Linked DNA regions of Arabidopsis thaliana. The protein of the gene in region 2 interacts with the protein of the main gene of each other region in a biochemical or structural test. Each region holds a gene or a part of one and is shown on either strand. Other genes may lie near its edges.

The links.
Region 1: the proteins of VTI1B (region 2) and AT2G43160 form a complex in vitro, tested with the Arabidopsis thaliana proteins (one study listed by BioGRID).
Region 3: the proteins of VTI1B (region 2) and SYP41 form a complex in vitro, tested with the Arabidopsis thaliana proteins (one study listed by BioGRID).

What each region holds. Positions count from the first base shown.
Region 1 is NC_003071.7:17,945,674-17,954,622, forward strand, and holds AT2G43160 (ENTH/VHS family protein), read left to right. Parts: upstream 1-2,126; 5' UTR 2,127-2,597; intron 2,598-2,679; exon of another isoform or gene 2,680-2,997; intron 2,998-3,124; exon of another isoform or gene 3,125-3,153; 5' UTR 3,154-3,210; coding exon 3,211-3,245; intron 3,246-3,348; coding exon 3,349-3,400; intron 3,401-3,639; coding exon 3,640-3,719; intron 3,720-3,808; coding exon 3,809-3,887; intron 3,888-3,986; coding exon 3,987-4,070; intron 4,071-4,188; coding exon 4,189-4,334; intron 4,335-4,601; coding exon 4,602-4,904; intron 4,905-5,110; coding exon 5,111-5,152; intron 5,153-5,240; coding exon 5,241-5,339; intron 5,340-5,412; coding exon 5,413-5,606; intron 5,607-5,853; coding exon 5,854-6,089; intron 6,090-6,167; coding exon 6,168-7,017; intron 7,018-7,106; coding exon 7,107-7,594; 3' UTR 7,595-7,996; downstream 7,997-8,949. Other genes in the region: AT2G43150 (Proline-rich extensin-like family protein), read left to right, coding at 220-858; AT2G43180 (Phosphoenolpyruvate carboxylase family protein), read right to left, coding at 8,046-8,164, 8,248-8,284, 8,359-8,558, 8,640-8,778, 8,864-8,949. UniProt on the Arabidopsis thaliana protein: May have a role in transport via clathrin-coated vesicles from the trans-Golgi network to endosomes. Stimulates clathrin assembly. Binds to membranes enriched in phosphatidylinositol 3-phosphate (PtdIns(3)P). Plays an important role in protein trafficking.
Region 2 is NC_003070.9:9,213,134-9,218,941, reverse strand, and holds VTI1B (Vesicle transport v-SNARE family protein), read right to left. Parts: upstream 3,173-5,808; 5' UTR 2,840-3,172; coding exon 2,743-2,839; intron 2,083-2,742; coding exon 2,024-2,082; intron 1,935-2,023; coding exon 1,746-1,934; intron 1,570-1,745; coding exon 1,399-1,569; intron 1,302-1,398; coding exon 1,149-1,301; 3' UTR 932-1,148; downstream 1-931. Other genes in the region: AT1G26665 (Mediator complex, subunit Med10), read right to left, coding at 3,516-3,587, 3,676-3,765, 3,849-3,951, 4,039-4,119, 4,209-4,432; AT1G26660 (Prefoldin chaperone subunit family protein), read right to left, coding at 5,177-5,248, 5,406-5,460, 5,615-5,722. UniProt on the Arabidopsis thaliana protein: Together with either SYP41 or SYP61, required for membrane fusion; the fusion of phospholipid vesicles containing SYP41 or SYP61 and VTI12 is triggered by YKT61 and YKT62.
Region 3 is NC_003076.8:9,487,179-9,493,506, reverse strand, and holds SYP41 (syntaxin of plants 41), read left to right. Parts: upstream 1-2,414; 5' UTR 2,415-2,902; coding exon 2,903-3,102; intron 3,103-3,286; coding exon 3,287-3,563; intron 3,564-3,662; coding exon 3,663-3,752; intron 3,753-3,985; coding exon 3,986-4,057; intron 4,058-4,153; coding exon 4,154-4,228; intron 4,229-4,345; coding exon 4,346-4,411; intron 4,412-4,503; coding exon 4,504-4,584; intron 4,585-4,675; coding exon 4,676-4,783; 3' UTR 4,784-5,374; downstream 5,375-6,328. Other genes in the region: AT5G26990 (Drought-responsive family protein), read right to left, coding at 227-489, 810-887, 1,165-1,307, 2,066-2,141; AT5G26970 (uncharacterized protein), read left to right, coding at 6,121-6,328. UniProt on the Arabidopsis thaliana protein: Contributes to the regulation of secretory and vacuolar transport pathways in the post-Golgi network, and to the maintenance of the Golgi apparatus and trans-Golgi network (TGN) morphologies. Together with VTI12, required for membrane fusion.

The DNA.
Region 1 (8,949 bases), on a different chromosome or scaffold from region 2:
AAAAAATAACGAAGATATAGAATTAGTCCCTAAAGAACAAAGCCCACCTCCAACGACTACTTTTTTCACTATAAAAACAACTCTTTTCCATGCAGAAACACAATCAATCACTTCTTCTTCATCTTTCCTCAAAAATAAAAACATTTTCTCCAATTTGTTCTTCTTTAATAATTTGGAGAAAAAAAGTCTTAGCTAAGACTGAACATTATCCGGTGAAGAATGGCGACTCCGGCATGGAGTCATGCCAAGGCTCAATGGGTAGTCGCCATGTTGGCGTTACTCGTTGGCTCGGCTATGGCTACCGAACCTTATTACTATAGCTCTCCTCCACCACCGTATGAGTATAAATCTCCACCTCCTCCGGTTAAATCTCCTCCACCGCCTTATGAATATAAATCACCACCACCTCCGGTTAAGTCTCCTCCACCACCGTATTACTATCATTCACCGCCGCCGCCAGTGAAATCCCCTCCCCCTCCTTATGTTTACAGCTCTCCTCCTCCTCCGGTGAAGTCCCCTCCTCCCCCATACTACTACCATTCACCGCCTCCTCCGGTGAAGTCTCCTCCTCCTCCATACTACTACCATTCACCACCTCCTCCGGTGAAATCCCCACCACCACCATATTACTACCATTCACCACCTCCTCCGGTGAAATCCCCACCACCACCATACTACTACCATTCACCTCCTCCTCCTGTGAAATCTCCTCCTCCTCCATATTATTACCACTCCCCACCTCCTCCGGTGAAATCCCCACCACCACCATACCTTTACAGCTCTCCACCACCACCGGTAAAATCTCCCCCACCTCCTGTCTACATCTACGCTTCTCCCCCACCTCCCACACATTACTAGGCTCATCAAATTCAACAAAATTTCCCCATTATTCAAGTAAGTCCTATACTTATACCTTTACCTCATAATCCGTTTTAATAATTGTGCCCTAAATAAAATCGGAATTTCTTCTTTCACAGGTTTTCTTTTAAAAAATGAAATAAAGGAAGGGTCAAAGTCAAAGAGAAGAAGAAGTGAACCAAATAAGGATCGTGGCGTGGAAATCAGAAACAAAACATCTCTAACAACGATCCACATCACTTCCTCTTCTTCAATGTCGCTCATCTTCCACTTGTGCATCATTATCTTTGCGTCTTCGTCAAGTCAAATTGTTTCCAAGACCCTTTTAGATCGTATCATACTCCTCTTTGTTCCCTTTTGTTGTTAAGTGAAAAAATGGGTTTTGGTAATTTAATTGTTGTGCATACATTTTCTATTTTGTTATTCTTCCGTTAATGTAATGAAAGAGTTGTTAGCATATAAAACAAAGTTCAGTTTCTTCTTTCTTTGGATTATGCGATATACAGTCATAACATTTTCTATCTTAAAACATAGTTCCAACGACAAAAGTAGTTCCAATGACAAAGTTAAAAGACATATTCTTTTAGGTTGGGCACGACATTGTTTCGATCTGTTCGTCCAGAGAAAGTTATCATTGCTTCAAAAGGTGGGAAAGTGGAAGTAACACATCACTTTGATCTCATTGGATCATTAATAATTGTGTTTATGTAATACGTCAGAGACTCACTTTCATTCAACTAATTTCCACCTACTCTTTTTGTTTCAACCTTAAAAAAAAAAAATATTGAGCAATACTATATGCTTAATACAAAACCATTGACTAAAATTAAAGAATGTTGAAATGAATTAATATCAAAGTTATAGTTTATATTCTTCTATTTAATCGAAACATGGAACCAAACAAAAGCAAATGAAAAGCAGCAAGTGCTGAAGAATTGGTTCGAAATAAGTGGAGTGGTTGTACTTTGGGCTTTGGGATAGCATTAGCTGATTTTGAGGCCCATTGGCTAAACGTATTTGGTAATTTGCCTCCAATTTTTTTGTCACCGTCATTTTGTTTGTTGTTTGGCAACGACACCTTCCAAACTTTATCGTTATGCTTAAGTTGATTTTGATAAATTAATTTGATAATGATGAAGTGAAATTCAATGAAGCTAATAAACACAATTTTGATAAATTAATTTGATTTCAACAGTACTGAAATATATAGTATTAGGTCTAGTAGCTTCCAACTCCACTAGACATAAAGCAATTTTGTCCCAACAAAAGTTTTGGAATAAAGCATATTGTATCTTCTCATTTCCAAACTGTATATGAGAATAGAAACTTTATAAAACTGGTTAGACCAAAGTAATAATTATGTTGTTCTCAATTAAACAGCTGTGATTTTTCAAATCCAAACATTATATTGATTTGGAGCGCCTTAATAATATTCTCCGTGTTTAGTTGCGCTGTCTTATTTGTATTATTCTTTTTTTTTTTCACTATTTCATTTTTATTTATTTATTTTATCTGTTGAATTTTCTCTTCTGGCTGCTGTTTTCCTCTCTCTCTCTCTCTAAACTCGAGAATTTTTGTAGAGAGAGGAGGCAAAGTGCGAAAGCTAAACGCAGATCCACGATCAATCTCCTCCACCTTCAAAAGCCTTCAAAAGTGTTTCTTCTTCGTCTTCTTCCTTTTATTATCTGTGCCTTGACAGATCCACGATCCGATTCTGGTCAAATTTTACATTTCTGCAGGTACGATCTTAGCTCTTTTTGTTCTTTCATGTTCATTATTCTTTTTCTGGATCTATTGTTTCCATTTTTAAATTTCCGGTTGATTTTTTTATCTTGTTCGATGTGATTCTATTTTGTGGAGGGATGTTATTAGCTTTAAGATCTGTGTGAGCTGCGTTTTTGAATGTGAATCTTCCTTTTTATTCGATTTTGATTGTTACCGTTTGAATTTTTAGTCTGCTTAGGAGTCGGATTTTGTTGATTTTGACTTCTTCTTTATATCCTTTAATTGTTGCAAAATTCGGAAATTTTGTTACGAGCTGGGGATTTTTTCCACTTCCTTGAGATTGTTTTAGGGTGAATCTGAACAAAGACAAATTCGATCATTGCTGATTGCTTTGTTGCCGTTCCTCAATTCCATGTATCTGGCTCTTACGATTGTGTAATTGAAATGAGATTATGATGAAGAATGATTCGTTTGTTTCTTTTTGTTCTATCTATACATTTGTGGTGATATATATATATATCTTTGTTTGAAACGTTAATAGATAAGCTGCTCATACTAGTTATACAACAGACTCCATAGAAGGTGACATTTGTTTAAGATACTCTTGTTCCTGGAACACATACGAAGATGAAGAAAGTCTTCGGACAAACTGTTAGAGACCTGTAAGTATTTTCGTACCCGAAATTTAATGATATTCTCAATCTGTGTGTGGTTTATTTCTTTTTTCATTGACGGGATGCTTCATTTTATGTTCCATTTATTCAGTAAGAGAGAGGTCAACAAGAAAGTGCTCAAAGTTCCTGGAGTAGAACAGAAGGTAATGGATGCTCTTAGCTTCTTCTCTCTTTTTCTTCTTATCAGAAATTCTTCCGCAGCAGAGATTTAGATACTGTTTTCCATTTTTATGCTTGAGTTTATCAATTTCTTTATTTGTTTCTAAAAGGCTTTTATAAATAGAGAGCTTATCTTGGTTGCATTCATCGTCTTGCTAAACAATGTAAAGCGAGATATCCAACTTTCTCTTATCTTGTTTTGTCTGTGCTTTCTCTTATTCAGGTTCTAGATGCTACTAGTAATGAGCCATGGGGTCCACATGGATCACTTCTTGCTGATCTTGCGCAAGCTTCCAGAAATTAGTAACTACGACCACCTTCCAACTTGCTATATTTTGCTGCGATTTTGGACATTGCACAGGAATTATAAAAACATGTTACTTCTATTTCAGTCATGAATATCAGCTGATCATGGTGGTCATATGGAAACGCCTTAGCGACACCGGAAAAAACTGGCGGCATGTCTATAAGGTAAACAATATTATTGTCTTGCTGGCTTAATTTGTGTTGAATTTCTGTAGCAGTGACTAAAGTATTTCATGCTGTTTACCTCTTCTCTCTCCCCTTCAGGCTTTGACAGTTTTGGAGTACATGGTAGGCCATGGATCAGAACGTGTTATAGACGAGATTAGAGAACGTGCATATCAAATTTCGGTAATGACTACCTTGAGTACATTATTTTGGAAGTATTCAACATCAAGAGAATCCTTTAGTGCTATATCTCAGTAGTTGACTATCTTACTTGTATATATGTCTATTTTCCTTGTGGCAGACATTGTCCGATTTTCAGTATATTGATTCCGGTGGTAGAGATCAAGGAAGCAATGTTAGGAAGAAATCACAGAGCCTGGTGGCTTTGGTGAATGACAAGGAAAGAATAGCTGAAGTCAGACAGAAGGCTGCTGCTAATAGAGATAAGTAAGTTTGCTTGTCATTGTATCTTTCTGGAACTGGTGGATAGTTTTCTCTCTGTGTGAGTCTCGGTGGACACTCGTTTGATTTCTTGTTGCTAGTGGCTTACAATTGTTATTATGCTTCTCGGTAGTCTATTAATTGGTAGTACTGGCACTTTAACTGTATTAGCTTCTGAATTTTGAAAGTTTTTATCTCGAGAAAAAAAAATGACATGTCTTTTGGTTCATTCAAAATATGCTGAACATATCAACCTACATTATTTTACAACAGGTATCGCAGCTCAGCACCAGGTGGGATGTATAAGCCTTCAGGCGGATATGGGGATAAATATGATTACGGAAGCCGGGATGAAGAGCGAAGTAGTTATGGAAGAGAAAGAGAATATGGTTACAGAGATGATGATAGAAATAGTCGTGATGGAGATCGTCATTCCAGGGACTCTGAAGACCGGTATGGGAGAGATGGTAATAGGGATGATGATTACAGGGGAAGGAGCAGAAGTGTTGATAACTATGGGTCACGAGGTAGGAGTTCGGAAAGAGAGCGGGAGGATGATGGCCATTCTTCATCACGGTATGTTAAATTTCAAGTCGCCTAAATCCTGAAATAAAAAAGGAAGGGGAAAATTTTGAAGATTATCAACTCCATTTGGATAGAATATTTTTATTTTGAATACTAGCGTAGATGTCCTTGATTTTAAAAATCATTTCGAACCGCAATCTTCTTAGTCTAGTTCCATTTTCAAATTTTAAATGGATACACTCCTTTTTGTCCTGTAGGGGCAGTGGTGCTCGAGCTGATGATAATTCTCAGGATGGGAGGTAATTTCTGATAAATTTCTACTGAAGTTTAGGCATTCTTTTATTGTATGACAACTCATCTCACCTTCTTTCGGGATTATAATGGTAGAGGGGGGCTCCAGAGGAAGTTTTCTGAACAAAATATTGGCGCTCCACCCAGTTATGAAGAAGCTGTCAGTGATTCACGCAGCCCTGTATATAGTGAAAGGTGATCATTTTCTGCTTTGAAAATTGAAAGCTACCTTGGTTTTTATTGGTGCTGATGAATCTTTCTATGCCAGGGATGGTGGGGAGACCCCACAAGTTACCGCTCCAGGAGCTGCTTCTCCTCCTCCCCCACAAGTTGCTGCTCCAGAGGCTGCTTCTCCTCCAACTGGAACCAACACAGCCAATACAACTGCTACTTTTGTTAATGAATCACCTTCTCAGAAAGTTGAGACTTTCGATGAATTTGATCCACGCAGTGCGTTTTCAGGTACAGAATACTCAAACTCTTGCAATTCTTTAGTTGTATCTTGAGATATTTTCTTAGTTTTTCAAACTCCTCGGCAGCATAGAGATTACATGAAAATCTTTAATCAATAACTATAACTAATTCAGTAAATGTTTCAAGGCTTAGTTGGAGGGTGTATGATTGTATTCTCATGTCTGTATGGTATATTTCTATCCCATTAAACTCTGCTTGTTCTGAGTGTGGCCGTTGTGTTCCTTTACTTTTCCAGCTGGCCCTCCAGCATATGCATCTACAGATGGTGTTACAGCTCCTCCAACTGTGACTTCTATGTCTGCCCCTACCACCTCAAACAGTGTTGAGATGGACTTGCTTGGTTCCCTTGCAGACGTATTTTCATCAAACGCATTGGCCATTGTACCAGCTGATTCTATCTATGTTGAAACCAATGGACAAGCAAACGCTGGTCCAGCTCCATCGTTTTCTACATCTCAGCCATCAACTCAGGTATATACACTGAGCTTGGAGTATGAAGATTATGATGGTTTCCTATGATTATTGATGACTGTTGTTTGGATTATGCAGTCATTTGATGACCCATTTGGTGACTCTCCTTTCAAGGCCTTCACTTCTACTGACACCGACTCAACCCCACAGCAGAATTTTGGAGCTTCTTTCCAGCCACCACCTCCAGCCTTCACTTCAGAGGTCTCACATCCTGATACTGCTCATAACTTTGGCTTTGGGGACTCATTTTCCGCCGTTGCCAATCCTGATCCTGCTTCTCAGAATGTGCAACCTCCATCGAACTCACCAGGTTTTCCTCAAGAGCAATTTGCTACATCTCAGAGTGGTATTGATATCCTCGCTGGCATTCTCCCACCATCTGGACCTCCAGTACAATCGGGTCCCTCAATACCAACATCTCAATTTCCTCCCAGTGGAAACAACATGTACGAGGGATTTCATTCTCAGCCGCCGGTATCTACAGCTCCAAACCTGCCTGGACAAACTCCATTTGGACAAGCTGTTCAACCATATAACATGGTTCCTCATTCTCAAAATATGACTGGAGCCATGCCATTTAATAGTGGAGGCTTCATGCACCAGCCGGGCTCACAAACTCCTTACTCTACCCCAAGTGGACCAGCTGGTCAGTTCATGGCACACCAAGGTCATGGAATGCCGCCATCCCATGGTCCACAACGAACTCAATCCGGACCTGTTACTCTGCAAGGGAACAACAATGTCATGGGAGACATGTTCTCGCAAGCTACGCCCAACTCCTTGACGTCATCATCATCTCATCCAGATCTCACACCTTTAACAGGAGCAATTGAGATTGTTCCTCCGCCTCAGAAAAAGTTTGAGCCAAAATCATCAGTCTGGGCAGACACGTTGAGCAGGGGGCTTGTTAACTTTAACATATCTGGATGTAAGATAGATTTCACCATACCATTTAAGGAAAAAAAAACGTCTTTAGCAAACTTTCTAACATTGTTTTTGTTTTTCTACTTATCGCAGCTAAAACAAATCCATTGGCAGACATAGGAGTTGACTTCGAGGCGATCAACAGGAGAGAGAAACGGCTGGAGAAACAAACAAACACACCAGCAACATCGACTATCAATATGGGTAAAGCCATGGGATCAGGCACTGGCTTAGGGCGTTCTGGTGCAACTGCTATGAGACCTCCACCTAATCCAATGACAGGCTCTGGCATGCCCATGGGCGGAGGAATGGGTGTTGGTAGCTACGGAGGTATGAACCAGAACCAACCCATGGGTATGGGTATGGGGGCCGGAATGAACCAAAACCAACCGATGGGTATGGGAATGGGACCCGGCATGAACATGAACATGAACATGGGAGGATATGGCCAAGGCTATCCGATGCAACCACAAAACCCAGGGATGGTACCTAGCCCAAACATGCCTGGCAATAACTACAATCCGATGATGGGTCAAGGTGGTTACAACCCTCAACAATCCTATGGTGGTGGATACCGGTAAGATCAAGCCAAACATGATGCACTTGACTTCATTCGTGTAATCAAGAATACGCTCGCCTGTGCTTTTTCTTTACTCTGGGATATGTAATATCAGTCGATAAAAGTACTCAGGTTACATTATTCATCCAGGCAACACGGCTCCACGAATTTTCTTCTCTGTTTGTTCTTGCCTTACTCGTCACTCATCATTCATTTTTATTTTTTTCTGGTTTGGACCAAATTGAGAGCTTGTTGTGAAATTTGTACCAGTGTGAGAGTGGCAAACCTTGCTCGGGTCTGCCCTTTTTTTGTTATATGCATATAATTTGATATATACACATTCACTTCTATTTCTTTATTTTGAAGATGTGTAATACATTTCTCATTCACGGAACAAATAAAATCTTTACATTTTTGTATTCTCTTTTTAAATGTTTCCCGGCTGTATTTACTTTTTCTTCACTAGGTGTGTGTCATTCTAGAAAGACTTGGATTCTGTCACCTGCAGTGTCTTTAAAATCTAACAAAATTTTCCCTCCGACCTCATCTGCTGCATCGTCCATCAATTGCTTCAAGTTCACGCCTCCTAAAGCTGCGAATTTTTTGAGGATCTGTCAATAACTATGCCTAAGAAAACTGAAACAGAATAAGAGAGACTTAGGAGTTTTTGAATACCTGGAACAATGTTTGTGACACCTTCCAAGAATCCGGCCTGTTCCAACCATAAGACAAGTTTTGCATCAGCTCAGATAAAACACGAAAAATGGCCCTCGAAAGTGGACTTACCGGAATTCTGACATCGAGTTTCTCAAACCCATCGCGTCCGATGATTTTGATCCTCAAAGATCGTGACCAGATCCGCGAAAAGGGGTTTCTTGGTTCATTATAAACCTCAGGTGTTATGACTTCAACAATCAGGTCCTCTCTCTGTTCTGGATCATCTTTAGCCACCCGTTGATTACGATAGACGCTACTGCTGCTCACTTCTTGAAAAGGATAAAACATATATTTAGTTATTGATTTGACATTTCCCAAAGATGTTACAACTGAAAACTTCCATGTCTCACCTCTATCTGATGACGAGGTAGCGTACCGCTTCTCTTCTTCCTCGTAAGTGTCAAAACCAAGAATCTCTCCAATTTCTTCTAAAGACGCCATGCTTCCTGGTGGAGGAATTCGCCCACCCTTGATTGCCAATAGAGCGTCCTGCAAGTGTTCCACATAGTTCTTAAGTCTCTTTGCCACCACAGTGAAGTCAACACATTATTGGCAGAAACAGAAAGATTGTGACCTGCATTGCTTGAATAGATACTCCAATCAATGAAATTGGATACGCCACTAGCTTATATCCAATCTCTTCTAGCTCCAGCGGGTTTA
Region 2 (5,808 bases):
TATTAACATCATTTAAATTAAATGATGCGAATTTTAACATTATTTTTTGTAATTGATATATGTTAAGATCGATTTACAAGAATCGATACAAAATATTTGCATCACTACTTTCAAAAGTCACTTTTTTTAGTGATGTAAATGTTTTTCTTGCCATCAATTATAAGTTTATAACTAATAAAAATATATAAAATAAATGATGTAAAAACACACATTTTTTTTGTAGTGATTGTACTTGATTAGTACTCAAATCATTTTGTCATCACATCAATCAAGTGTATATGCCTAAAATTTTAAAGAGTAGATTAATTAATCTCAAAACTCTTTCATTTGGTGGTTAAGTGAATTATTTCCGGCGAATGGGAGGAAATTCTTGATCATTAAAGATTATTTTCAATCACTCGTCAATCTATCCCTGCTTACGAAGAAGGGATTTATAGGGTGGAATGGGTTAACGAGTTTGAAGACCAGAACGTGTGGTTTAAAACATAACAGGGGCTGAGATCATAGAAAACATAATTCACGACAGAAACACATGCTCTAGCTGCGTTATGGACGGGCCGGGACTGCATAAAACTATTTGTTTCGGGGATAGTTTTACTTGTTATGTTTGGCTTGTGTGTATTTTTTGGTGTCGTGAATGTTTGATGTTATTTTAAATAGAGAGATAGAAGGAGAGGCCTTTGTTTCATGCTCTGACGTGACAGTGGGTCTCCTGCCTGCGACTGGTGATCACGGCAAGATGATTGGTCCGGCAAGGATGTGTCAGGTGTCCTAGTTTTCTTAAAACATTATAAGTATAGATCTTTGGCTCATGTAAAGACTTGGAAAACCTTATGTTTTGAGCAATGGAGTGTTTGTTCTTTTTGGAATTACATTGTTGTAAGTTTTCAAAGGTTGGACTTGAGATGTAAGTGGAAGTTTCCACAGTTGTAACTTTTGAAACATCTGCTTTATATAAAATAGTACCACTTTTTTGGAAAAAAAGACAAAAAAGAAAAGACTTGGGAAACCTTATGAATGTTAAAAGTGTTGCCACTTCAATACAAACATCGTACTTAAAAATACAAGTAACCACTTGGGCCATTACAAAGTAAATCAACCATCATATATATATACACAATCACGATGAATAATGTTTTTTGAGTATATTAATGAGAAAGCTTGTATGAGATGATCAAGATGATGGCGAGAACGAGAGCCACGATTACCGATGTAATGATCCATTTGTTCCTAGTCATTCTCCTTGACATAGCCGTCAACACCTTCTTGCTCTTGTCAATGGCGTCATCCACACCATGAAGCTGTGATTCAAAATCAGAAAAGTTAGCTTCTCAATGATCTAATTCAAACAAATCATTGGCACTGATAGATACCAAACCGAGCAATTGTAGACGGTACCTTGTTGTGCGCATGAAGGAGGGTTTGGCGTTGCTGACTCAAATCTTGGACAATTGAGATGCCAACCTCTTCTGTCTCCAGCATTAGTCTTCTACTCTCCCTGATTCTGTCACTTGATTGGTCAAGCCTCTCCACGGACATTGCCAATCTTCCTCTTTGATCAGCAGATACCTGGAACATGGACAATAATGTAAATCACAGCAAAGTCTTTGCCATCTAAAAGTTTGTGTGAAGATGAATATAAAGGAGGGTCCCCTCAGGACAAAGAAGCCTAACTGATGCAAGTCAATTAAGACAACTAAGATAATGAGAAAACAAGAGTTTCTATTTAGGAGTTAGAAGCTTACTGCATGCAGATCCGCCATTCCGGATTCCATCAACTCTTCACGGGAAGACGGCTTAGCATCTGCGGAAGAGACTCGTTTGAATTCCTTCTTCAATTGGTTCAGATCAGATTTATACTCTCTTAGTTTAGAAAGACACACAGCTTTAGCACTCGGCTGCAAACTTCTTGCCTCAAGATCCATTTTCCGGATCTACAAAAAAACCACAGAAGCATATATATTAATTTTAAAAAAGAAAGAACAGAACGGTAACAACATTAAAGCAAGTTAAATGCAAATACCAAGACATCAGCTTCGTCTATTCCAGACTTGATCTCAGCAATCTTCCCCTTCTTCTCCTCTATAAAAGCACACAACAATATCTAATCAAACCTCTACTCTGGTTCTATGGCACCACAAAATGTAACAACTCCATGCATGTCTATGTACTATAACTCCAAGAAAGACAGTGGTAACCATAGACTGACAAACAAATGAAAAAAAACACCAACTCAATAAACCTCTGCAGCTACATAACTAGGTTCTTATGATCTTATCTTCAGTCTTAATTTCTTCACAAAACTACTTGACCAATCCAAGTAAATTACATTCCCAGATACTACAGAACTCGTCAGATCGTAAACAAGCTAAAACGATTAGTAAACACTCATGCACCTCTACTTTACAAATACCCCCAAATTCGGACAAAATTAGATGAAATAGATTGAGAAACAAGTTAATAAATCTATGCAACTACATAACTATCTAGACCTAACTAGGTTATCGTCTTCTAATCCAAGCAATGAGAAACAGATCCTATGTCTCAACATTCCTAAATGTTACAAAACTTCGTCAGATCCTAAACAAGTCAGGACGATTAGTAAAGAACACTAGTCCACCAGCTACTTGTCACAGCTCAAAAGCTCCAATAACCCCAAATTCGAAGATTCGAATTTCTAAAATCAGGTAAATTCGAAGATCTCGCGTTCAAGATCCGAAATCGGGAGCGTCTGGATTTTACCTCCGTTGGAGAGAACCGATGCAGAGTGACATTTTCTAGAGAGATTGGTTGAGAGCTCGCAGTATTGACGCTCGTACCCTTCAAATACGTCGCTCATCTTCAATTATATGTTTCGATCTTGAGAAATTTGGTGGATTTTTTCTGATCAATCGGATCCTTTGTTTGATTGGATTGGATCGGATCTAGAAGCAAAACAGTTTCCTCTTTGCTTAAAGATAATCAAACAACTCTTCTTCTTCTTCCTTTGTATTTCTCTGCTCGGGGACAAGGAGGAACAATCAAACAAAGCGGTGCGTTTTATATTGACACGTGTCAGCCACTGCGTATTAAGTCCCCCATGCTGCAATCGATGCAAATGTAGGTGAGACAAACCAAACCGAATCAAACCGTTAATTAAGATTGAAATCTAAGTGTCTTTTCTCACTTTTTCAGCTCTCGGAAATAGTGTACATTTTATGCAGAACCAAGATTACTCGTCCAGGAAATAGACAAATCCATTGATAGAAGTCGAATCTGTTTTGCGTAACTATGTGGGATTCTTTGATAGTCTCATGAAATCAAAGAGATCTCAGAGGCTAAGAGTAAGATAGTCCACTCGAGTAAAAATGGGGGGAACAAGCAGAGATTCTCAAACTATATTAGCCAGGTGAAGAGAACCAACAGATATTATTAGAAATTCCACTTGGGATTGTTCGTGTTACATCACATTCATCGACTCAGTCATTATATTCTACAAGAGTACAAGGTAAACATAAAAAGGATCCTTTGGGCTCTTATAGCTCATTCTTGACCTTTGCATCCCCATTTGGTAACACACTTTGCGATTGCGCCAACCGTTTCGCTTCCTGAATATGACCAAAACTGTTTAATCCCCTTGACTTACTATAATATATTAATGAAGATGTACAATACTAGTCGAAGTTAACAACTTACAGCAGCAGAACTAGCACGGATTTCTCTATACATATCGACTTCATCAGGGAAATTCTGTTCAAGCTCCTCCAGAATATGTTTTCTCAAATCCTATTTATAACAAAATGTTGATTAAGAGACTCAGTAACCTTAAGAATCATACACAAATTAAGAATCAGAAGAAAAGGAGTCACCTTAAAAGCATCAGTCTTGCCCTTAGTAACTTGATTTCTAGCTATGCAGCTATTAAGAACATCTTTCGTAAACTCATCCGGGTTCTTCCCATCATCAATCAAGCTATACGAAAACGCAAACATAAGTAAGCAAGTAAAAGTATCTATCTTCAAAGTGCATACTAAAAACAAAAAGGACTTGTTTTCTCACTTAAGAACCTCCATGGGGATTTGAATGTTGCATTTCTCAGACAACTTAGTCATGTTATCTAGCTCCATCACAAGAGAGTTACTGCAAATACACACACACACACATATTCATTCAAACAATAGTTACAATACCCAAAACAATAAACACAGATGAGTAGAGGAGTTACTTACAGGCGCTGGAGGAGATGGAGTTGAGACGCGGGTGTGAAAGAAGTGACGGTAAGGTGTAACTGATGAAGGACTCCTAAAGTTTTCTCAATAGAGTTTATGACTTGGGAAAGATTCTCCTTTGAATCATCAGCAACGGTCACAGTTGAAGTCCCATCATTGGTTTGATATCTGATTGTACCATTGCTCCCACCAATCCCTGCACTTGTGTTCTGTGTTGGATCCATCACAAGCTGCCACAAAATATAAACTTGAGATATATGACCTGATGCGTTAGCGATAACAAAACAAAAACGAGAAAACGCAATTTTCGATCTCAAAATCAAACGAAAATTCTTCAGAAACCTTATTCAATTGGAGTGGATTTTGGTATCCAAATTTCTAATTTTAGATGCAAATTCCACAAAAACGCCCAGATCAAGAATAACGATAACAATAACAATTAGCGTAGAATGAAGATCCGTGACTTACCTACAACAGAGATGCGTTTGGCGAGAGTGAGGTGGAGATTCTCCGGACGAATTAGGTTTTCCTCCGAGCCTTACCGTGAAAACCGAAAAGGGACCGACGAAGACAGGGAAGCGGAAGATATTTGGACACTTTGCTGACGTGGAATATCATTATCTTGTATCTGTTTCGTTCATACTTTTATTTCATTCTTCATCAGCTGTGTTAAACTGTTAATGATCTTCTAAGTTCTAACATGTGATTATTAATATTTAAAATAGAAATGGCAGATTTAACAGAGTGCGATTCACTATTCACCCCCACAACAATAGTCATTCTATAAAGTTTTGATTGCTTAATCGATATGTTTATCTAACACCAACAGTTTGGTCCATTCCGGAGAAAGAGTTAGTATTGAACAAACTAAGTTAATTCTCTGCTTTAAAAACTCAAAACAGTAAGCAGAACAAATCGAGAAGATAAGACTGCAAGAGAAAATCCTCAACTTTCCACTAGGTAGTGTACTAAAACGCACGTTGCCGGGATGACGGATTCTCTTCAGGAAGATTGAGTATTTGCTGAATCTGGTAATGAGCCTGCAATGGTAATTTAACATTAATACTTATCCGATGACACTTTCATATATCCGTCTGATGCAGGGTTCCTACGCAATAGTGATTTTCTAGTCCAATTCAACCTCATAAGACAAATGATTGACTACTATCACAAAGCAAGATAAGAACTTGAACTTACCAGTTTGATGCGCCCTTTGATCTGCGTAATAACACCAGTATACTCTTCTAGTTGTCTGTTAAAAACAAAAAAAACCACATTTATATTGCATCAACATTCAGTCACTATACTGCATTCCACCGGAGAACTCATTCATCATATACAATGATACAACCATATTTTCCTTGTACATGGAGCAAGAAAACTAGAAAAGCAAAGATTTCTCTTACTTTTGAGTTCTTTCCTCCCTTTGTGCTATATAGTCAAGAGCTTCTTGCCGTGTGAACTCCACATAAAAGCCGAGGCCTACATCCATGAATATGTGCCGAGTATCTGGCCTGAACTCAAACAAACACCCAAGTCAAGTGAAACGAAATCAGAAGCAAACCTGGTAGAAAGCATCTCCTATTTTAATCCCCATTTA
Region 3 (6,328 bases), on a different chromosome or scaffold from region 2:
AACCATCATAACAAACTCTGCAATTTGCATTTCTACAACAACAACAAAAAAAACACTCAGATCACAAGAGCTTTTAGGTTATTGGTAAAACAAGGGATCAACTAAATTCCATTAAGGCTCATAAAAACTAAGGATGAGTAATATGCGATGACTTAACAAGAATGATCAAGAAATCAATGAGGATATCATCCAGAAGTGTAATCCAAATGAGAATGTGGAAGCATACCTTTCAGGCAAACTCTGATTCAATGTTTTCTTGGCAGAACTTGTGTCTGCACATAGACTTGACTCAGAAATGAAAAAGTCATCAGCCATTGGTGAAATGAATGAAGACAGTAAAGGATCAGCAGCTATACTGGCAGAAGAAGAGGATACAGCACGTGATGTTCCTTCAAATAGGCTCTGAAAATTTCCATCAGGAAACTCTCTCTTCAAGATCGATAGCATGGATTGAGCCCCGCCTCTTCTTGATTTCCTTTTCCGCGTCACGTAATATTTTGTTAAGGAATGTAACTGTTAGAGATAAAATCTTTATTATGATAGTAGAAAAGATAGAACAATAAAGCAACAAGAGTATAAACTCAATAGAATCCTCCAAAGCTCTCAATTGCTTGGTTAGGTTTCACAAACAAAACCTAACCCTTACTTCTAACAGAACATAAATAAAAGACTCTAGGAAAAGTAAATCCTAAACTATTTCCTAAATCATAAATCAGGAAGTATTCATATCATTAACACAACTCATTGGAAGAATCAGATAAGTACATGATCGTTAAAAATATAACTGGTAGAGAGAGCAAAAAGGATATCTTGAACATATTTGCATGTTGTAGGGTTATATGAGCAATCATATCAGAGCTCACTTTCACCGCACAAATGGGACATACCTACAAGATTAACAATGTCAAAACGCAGAATTGAAAACAAATCTTGCTATTGTAGCAATAAACAAGTGTCCTAGAGTTGATTTCTTCTCTGAGGAACACTGAGTGGCAATTCCAAATACTATTTCGACGCATTTCATTAGGTTACTTTCACTTTCTTTATATCCAAGACCAGTAACTACTAAACATAGAACAGTGCTCTTACCAAGAATGATATGATGAAACAATAAATAGATTTTGATTCAAAACGAGAGAAAGGTAACATTGAGGAAATATCTACCCCATTTTTTGCATCCATAGGATGATCTTCATCAATGTGACAGCATAGAGAGACGATATCAAAATAGTCTGAACAGAACGGGCAAGCATACTCCTCCCTGAAGTCATCTTCTCCTTCTATCTCCTCAAACCCCAAGAAATTGTCTGCGTTTTTCAAAAATGAAGAAACTAGTCAAACACGGCCAAGAGAACATTCGAAAATGTGACAACTACAAAACAAAAGCCTAGAAAATAAAATGACAACTACAAAACAAAAGCCTAGAAAATAAAATGGGAAATACTAAAAACGCGTTCCATTCTCGAAGTTCCAATACAAATGGGTTTCAGAAGAAACATCAAAGATATCTAAATAAACGAATGGAAACTAGTAGATCATAAAACCTTCCCTGGCAAAGACGTCTAAGTTTGAGATGAAACTAAAGCTTTTAAAAACGTTTTTACCAACAAGAAGTTTTGTATTTACTTGTAAGTCAAACAAGAATCATCAAGATTCCAGCTTTTGACATTAAGTTCATACCAAAACCTAGAAACAAAACACACACGCTTAATCAATCCCTAAAGCCTCACATTAGTAAAATGCCTCAAAAGACAGAATTTATTTCCTCCATTTTCCTTAAATTCAATATCAGCAAAACAAACATTTGAACAATCACCATTTCAAATATTCAGAACAAGACACAATCAATGTCTTGTCCCATTTTGTTCGGAAAACCAGAACAGTAACAAAAATGTCAATCTCTTACAGTCAATCTCGATCCTTGATCAATTCAAAAGAAAACAAATTTGAGGTCTAAATATCATTGATATTTTTGCAATAGAATCAAGATTAAATTTAAGACAAAACCAATCAAATCTCAAATTAAGAAAGAACAAATCCAAGTTATAATTTTTATCAAACTCACCAGATCGAGACAAGAAATCGAGCTGATATCTTCTTGAAGCCGATGCGAGACGATCACTCCAAGAATCAGAATCCATTTTTTCTACGAAGATTATTACAAATCGAAACCAAAGAATCCACTTTTTCAACAACAACAACAAAAAATCAAATAAATTCCAAGAATCCGAATTGATCTTGAGTCCGGATAAAACAAAAACAGAGATATTCCGATTCAAGAATCAAAAGATTCCGACGAAATGCAAAGACGAAGACGACGACGACGATTTTGCGTCTTTTTTTTCTGGAATTCGTCTTTTTATCTTCTTTTTTTATTATGGTTTTTAATTCTTTGGATATAGAGAGAGAGAGAGAGTGAAAGACATAGAAGAGATGAGTTCTATTACATGTATTAAATTGTTTTTTAACAGCCCGCACGAATGCATGCCGTTTAAACCTTTTACCCGCCGTGTTTTTCCCTTTTGGAATATCAAAACGTCATGCTGTTAGTACGACGCTTACGTGTCGAAATATTATTGGTTTGTATTTGGTAAGCTGGTGAAACAGGACAAAGTTAGCCGCGCAACTGTTTTTTAACTTTTTTTTTTACTGTTTCCAAAGTTTTAAGTTTTGGGGAAATAGTGAAAAGTGAAAACCTCAATTTGCAAATCTGAGAGTTTACTTTCCTCATCGGAAAAAGTTTTGATCTCGCCGCTCTCCGAGCACTTCCTTGTCGGAGTCCCAATTTTTGTGTTCGGTTTTATTCTCGGTCGATGATGAAGCCGCGATTGTGTTCAGATCGGAGCTGATTTCGAATTTGGATGTGAAATTGAGATTCTAGGGATTTCAAATTTTGACGATCATGGCGACGAGGAATCGTACGTTGCTGTTTAGGAAGTACAGAAACTCTCTGAGAAGCGTCAGAGCTCCATTGTCGTCATCTTCATTGACGGGAACACGATCCGGCGGCGTTGGTCCGGTGATCGAGATGGCGAGTACTTCGTTATTGAATCCGAATCGCTCTTACGCTCCTATTAGTACCGAAGATCCTGGAACTTCTAGGTACTCTTCTCTCTCTTTATCAGTGAAAATGGTGAACAATTTGATCAATTAGGGTTAACTGGAAATGATTAGCTTAGCAATGAGAATGATAATACATCATTGATAGTGTAGTTGAAGTAAATGTCTGTGAGCTACGTTAAGCTGAGAGTTAGTAGTTACTGAGATATTTTTGGTCATGTTTTAGTAAAGGTGCGATAACAGTGGGCTTACCACCAGCTTGGGTTGATGTCTCTGAGGAGATATCTGTGAATATACAGCGTGCAAGGACTAAAATGGCTGAGTTGGGAAAGGCTCATGCCAAGGCGTTAATGCCATCGTTTGGGGATGGTAAAGAAGATCAACATAATATTGAGTCTTTGACACAGGAGATAACTTTTCTATTGAAGAAGTCTGAGAAGCAACTTCAGAGGCTTTCTGCTTCAGGGCCTTCTGAAGATTCAAATGTTAGGAAAAATGTGCAGGTAGTTTTGACTTGATGGAAGCTGCTCTTAACACATTTCCTTTCTTTTTGCTGCATTTGCCATTGCTATCTAAGATTTATCATGTGTGTTTAATAACAGCGGTCTCTTGCCACTGACCTCCAACTTCTTTCTATGGAGCTTCGCAAAAAACAGTCAACATATTTGAAACGCTTGAGGCAGCAAAAAGAGGTATGAAACTATTATCTATTTTAGTGTAATTGGCATTTCTTATACCGGAAACTATGTGATGTTGCAGTGTCTCATTCTTTGAAGTTTTTGTTTGCTTTCTGCTCCTCCGCCTCAAATGAAACTTCTTTACATCGATTTCATAGATGATAGATTCTTTTAGTACTTGTTTTTTCAGAGTATATTATTCTGTCCTCTCAAGAAGCTTTGACTTGAAATGTATTATCATTTATCAGGATGGGATGGATTTAGAGATGAATCTGAGCAGAAACAGATATAGACCTGAAGAGGATGACTTTGGCGATATGGTTTGACTCCTATACCTGTTTCATTCTATCGATTTAAAGCAATCATTCGTCTTATGTCTTCTTTATTGATGGAATTTTTTCTCGATTCCTTTTTAGTTAAACGAGCATCAGATGTCAAAGATAAAAAAGAGTGAAGAAGTATCTGTAGAGAGGGAGAAAGAGATACAACAGGCAAGTGCTTGCACTACGTCTTTGTTCTTAGTTGTTTGTAGCTCACCAACGTTTTTTTTTTTCTTTTGCAATCAATCATAATCTTTTTTCTTCTTCGTTGTCTGTGTCATTGTCCAGGTTGTAGAATCAGTAAACGATCTTGCTCAAATTATGAAGGATCTTTCTGCACTTGTGATAGATCAGGTTAAACTTATTTAATCCCATATTCTCTTTGTCTAGCTTTTGAGTCTTCTTCCTTTCGAAAAACAAACTCAAAGCAACCCGTTTAATTGCAGGGTACAATAGTTGATCGGATAGACTATAATATCGAAAACGTCGCTACTACTGTTGAAGATGGTCTCAAACAACTACAGAAGGTAAAAATAGTGTTCTCTCTTCAACATTAATGTCCAACTATTTGTTTGTCCCAATTCTAAATGAAGTGGATCGCATAAAAAAACTTCACAGGCAGAGCGAACGCAGAGACATGGAGGTATGGTGAAGTGCGCATCCGTGCTTGTCATCCTCTGTTTCATCATGCTGCTACTCTTAATCCTCAAGGAAATATTCTTGTGATCGGATACTATAATCCCTGGTTAGATCAATAAGAAAAGTTCGATCCTTAACTATTTCATTCTTTAGCCCCGAACATCGCATGTTTTCCTTCAGGGCTTTTGGTTTCAACTTCTTTGCATTTAACAATACTAAGATCCTTTGCAGAGTAGTTAGTACGTAATATTATTGTGTAGAAGAAGACCATAGATAGTCAGAGGTCGATGTCTGAGGAGTTGAGAGATCTGTGCACCAACGCCAAAATACTCTCTTCACGCTAAAGTCAAGTGTTCTTTTAAAATGTATAAGATTCCAGTCATAGTTGTTGGAACTTGTTTTTGACAAAATGGTTTTGACCATTGTAACTTGTGGATTTTCCGGTGAAGACGTTCATTGGAGTGACCAGATTTCGGGCAAGATGGAATCGTAGCTGCGAGCACTACATGGTGGAGTATTCAAATGTGAAAACGAGTTTGTTTGAAATCTTTTACTTTCCGGTTATTGTATCTTCGCATAAATTACAAATTCTCAACATTCTAGTTCTTTTAAAAACATATATCATTTACAAATGTATAAATATTTTTCACTTGAAACAATGAAAACTTTATACACGTTTTTGTGATGAGTTAATATGAATTAAATTACATCTCAAGTTCTCAACTCTAGTTTGAAATTGGTCATGCCAAATAGCCTAATTGAACTTGTATTGTTATTGTGTCATTATCATGGTTCAAACCCATATTATAATCATACTGTTGACAAAAATTATAATTTTAATATTAAATTTGTGTTATTATTTTTGTAGATAATTAGCTGGAGGGTTTTTAAAAGAAAAATATAAAAAAAAAATTAAATAATGATTATATCAGCGCTTAAAAAAGATAGTATTATCCTGGATAGCACATTATTTTTTTTATCTGTTTCTAATGATTCTTTAAATTACCTTTAAATATAATAAATTACATATCTAAGAATTTTTTAAAATTTATGATAATATTTTATCTTTTTTAAATGTAGCATGTATATAATAAATTTAAAACTTATATTATATATAGTGCTTCAATAAAATCCTTGAACATGTATAACCAAAAAAAAACCTCAAACAACATGTGCATGGATGTTTACCAATTATCATTTAAAATATAGTTATCTTATTTACAATGGATGTTTACCAATTATTGGTTATATATTTATTTACAAAAATAAAATGAAAAAAAGTAGTTGATGGTTTTAGTCTTTTTTTCGCAATAGGGATAATTTTATTGTTTAAGTCAAATATTACATGGATTATGAAATACCCCAGAACAAAAAAGCTACAGAAACATATTAGGCCCAACTAAAGCCCAACAGAGAAACCGTCTATGGAAGAAGAAATATTATCTTTTGTCTCTATCCAAAGCCACGTGTCTTCTGCTGGAGAGAAACCAATACACGTACTGGATGAGAATCCAAAGTTTTCCCGACTTCATCCTTCGCCGTCAAACATCGACTCCGGTGAAGATTCAACGTCGATTAACAAATCAAACATGGAATCTTATGGGTTTTCACCGGTAAAAATAATCGAAGCCC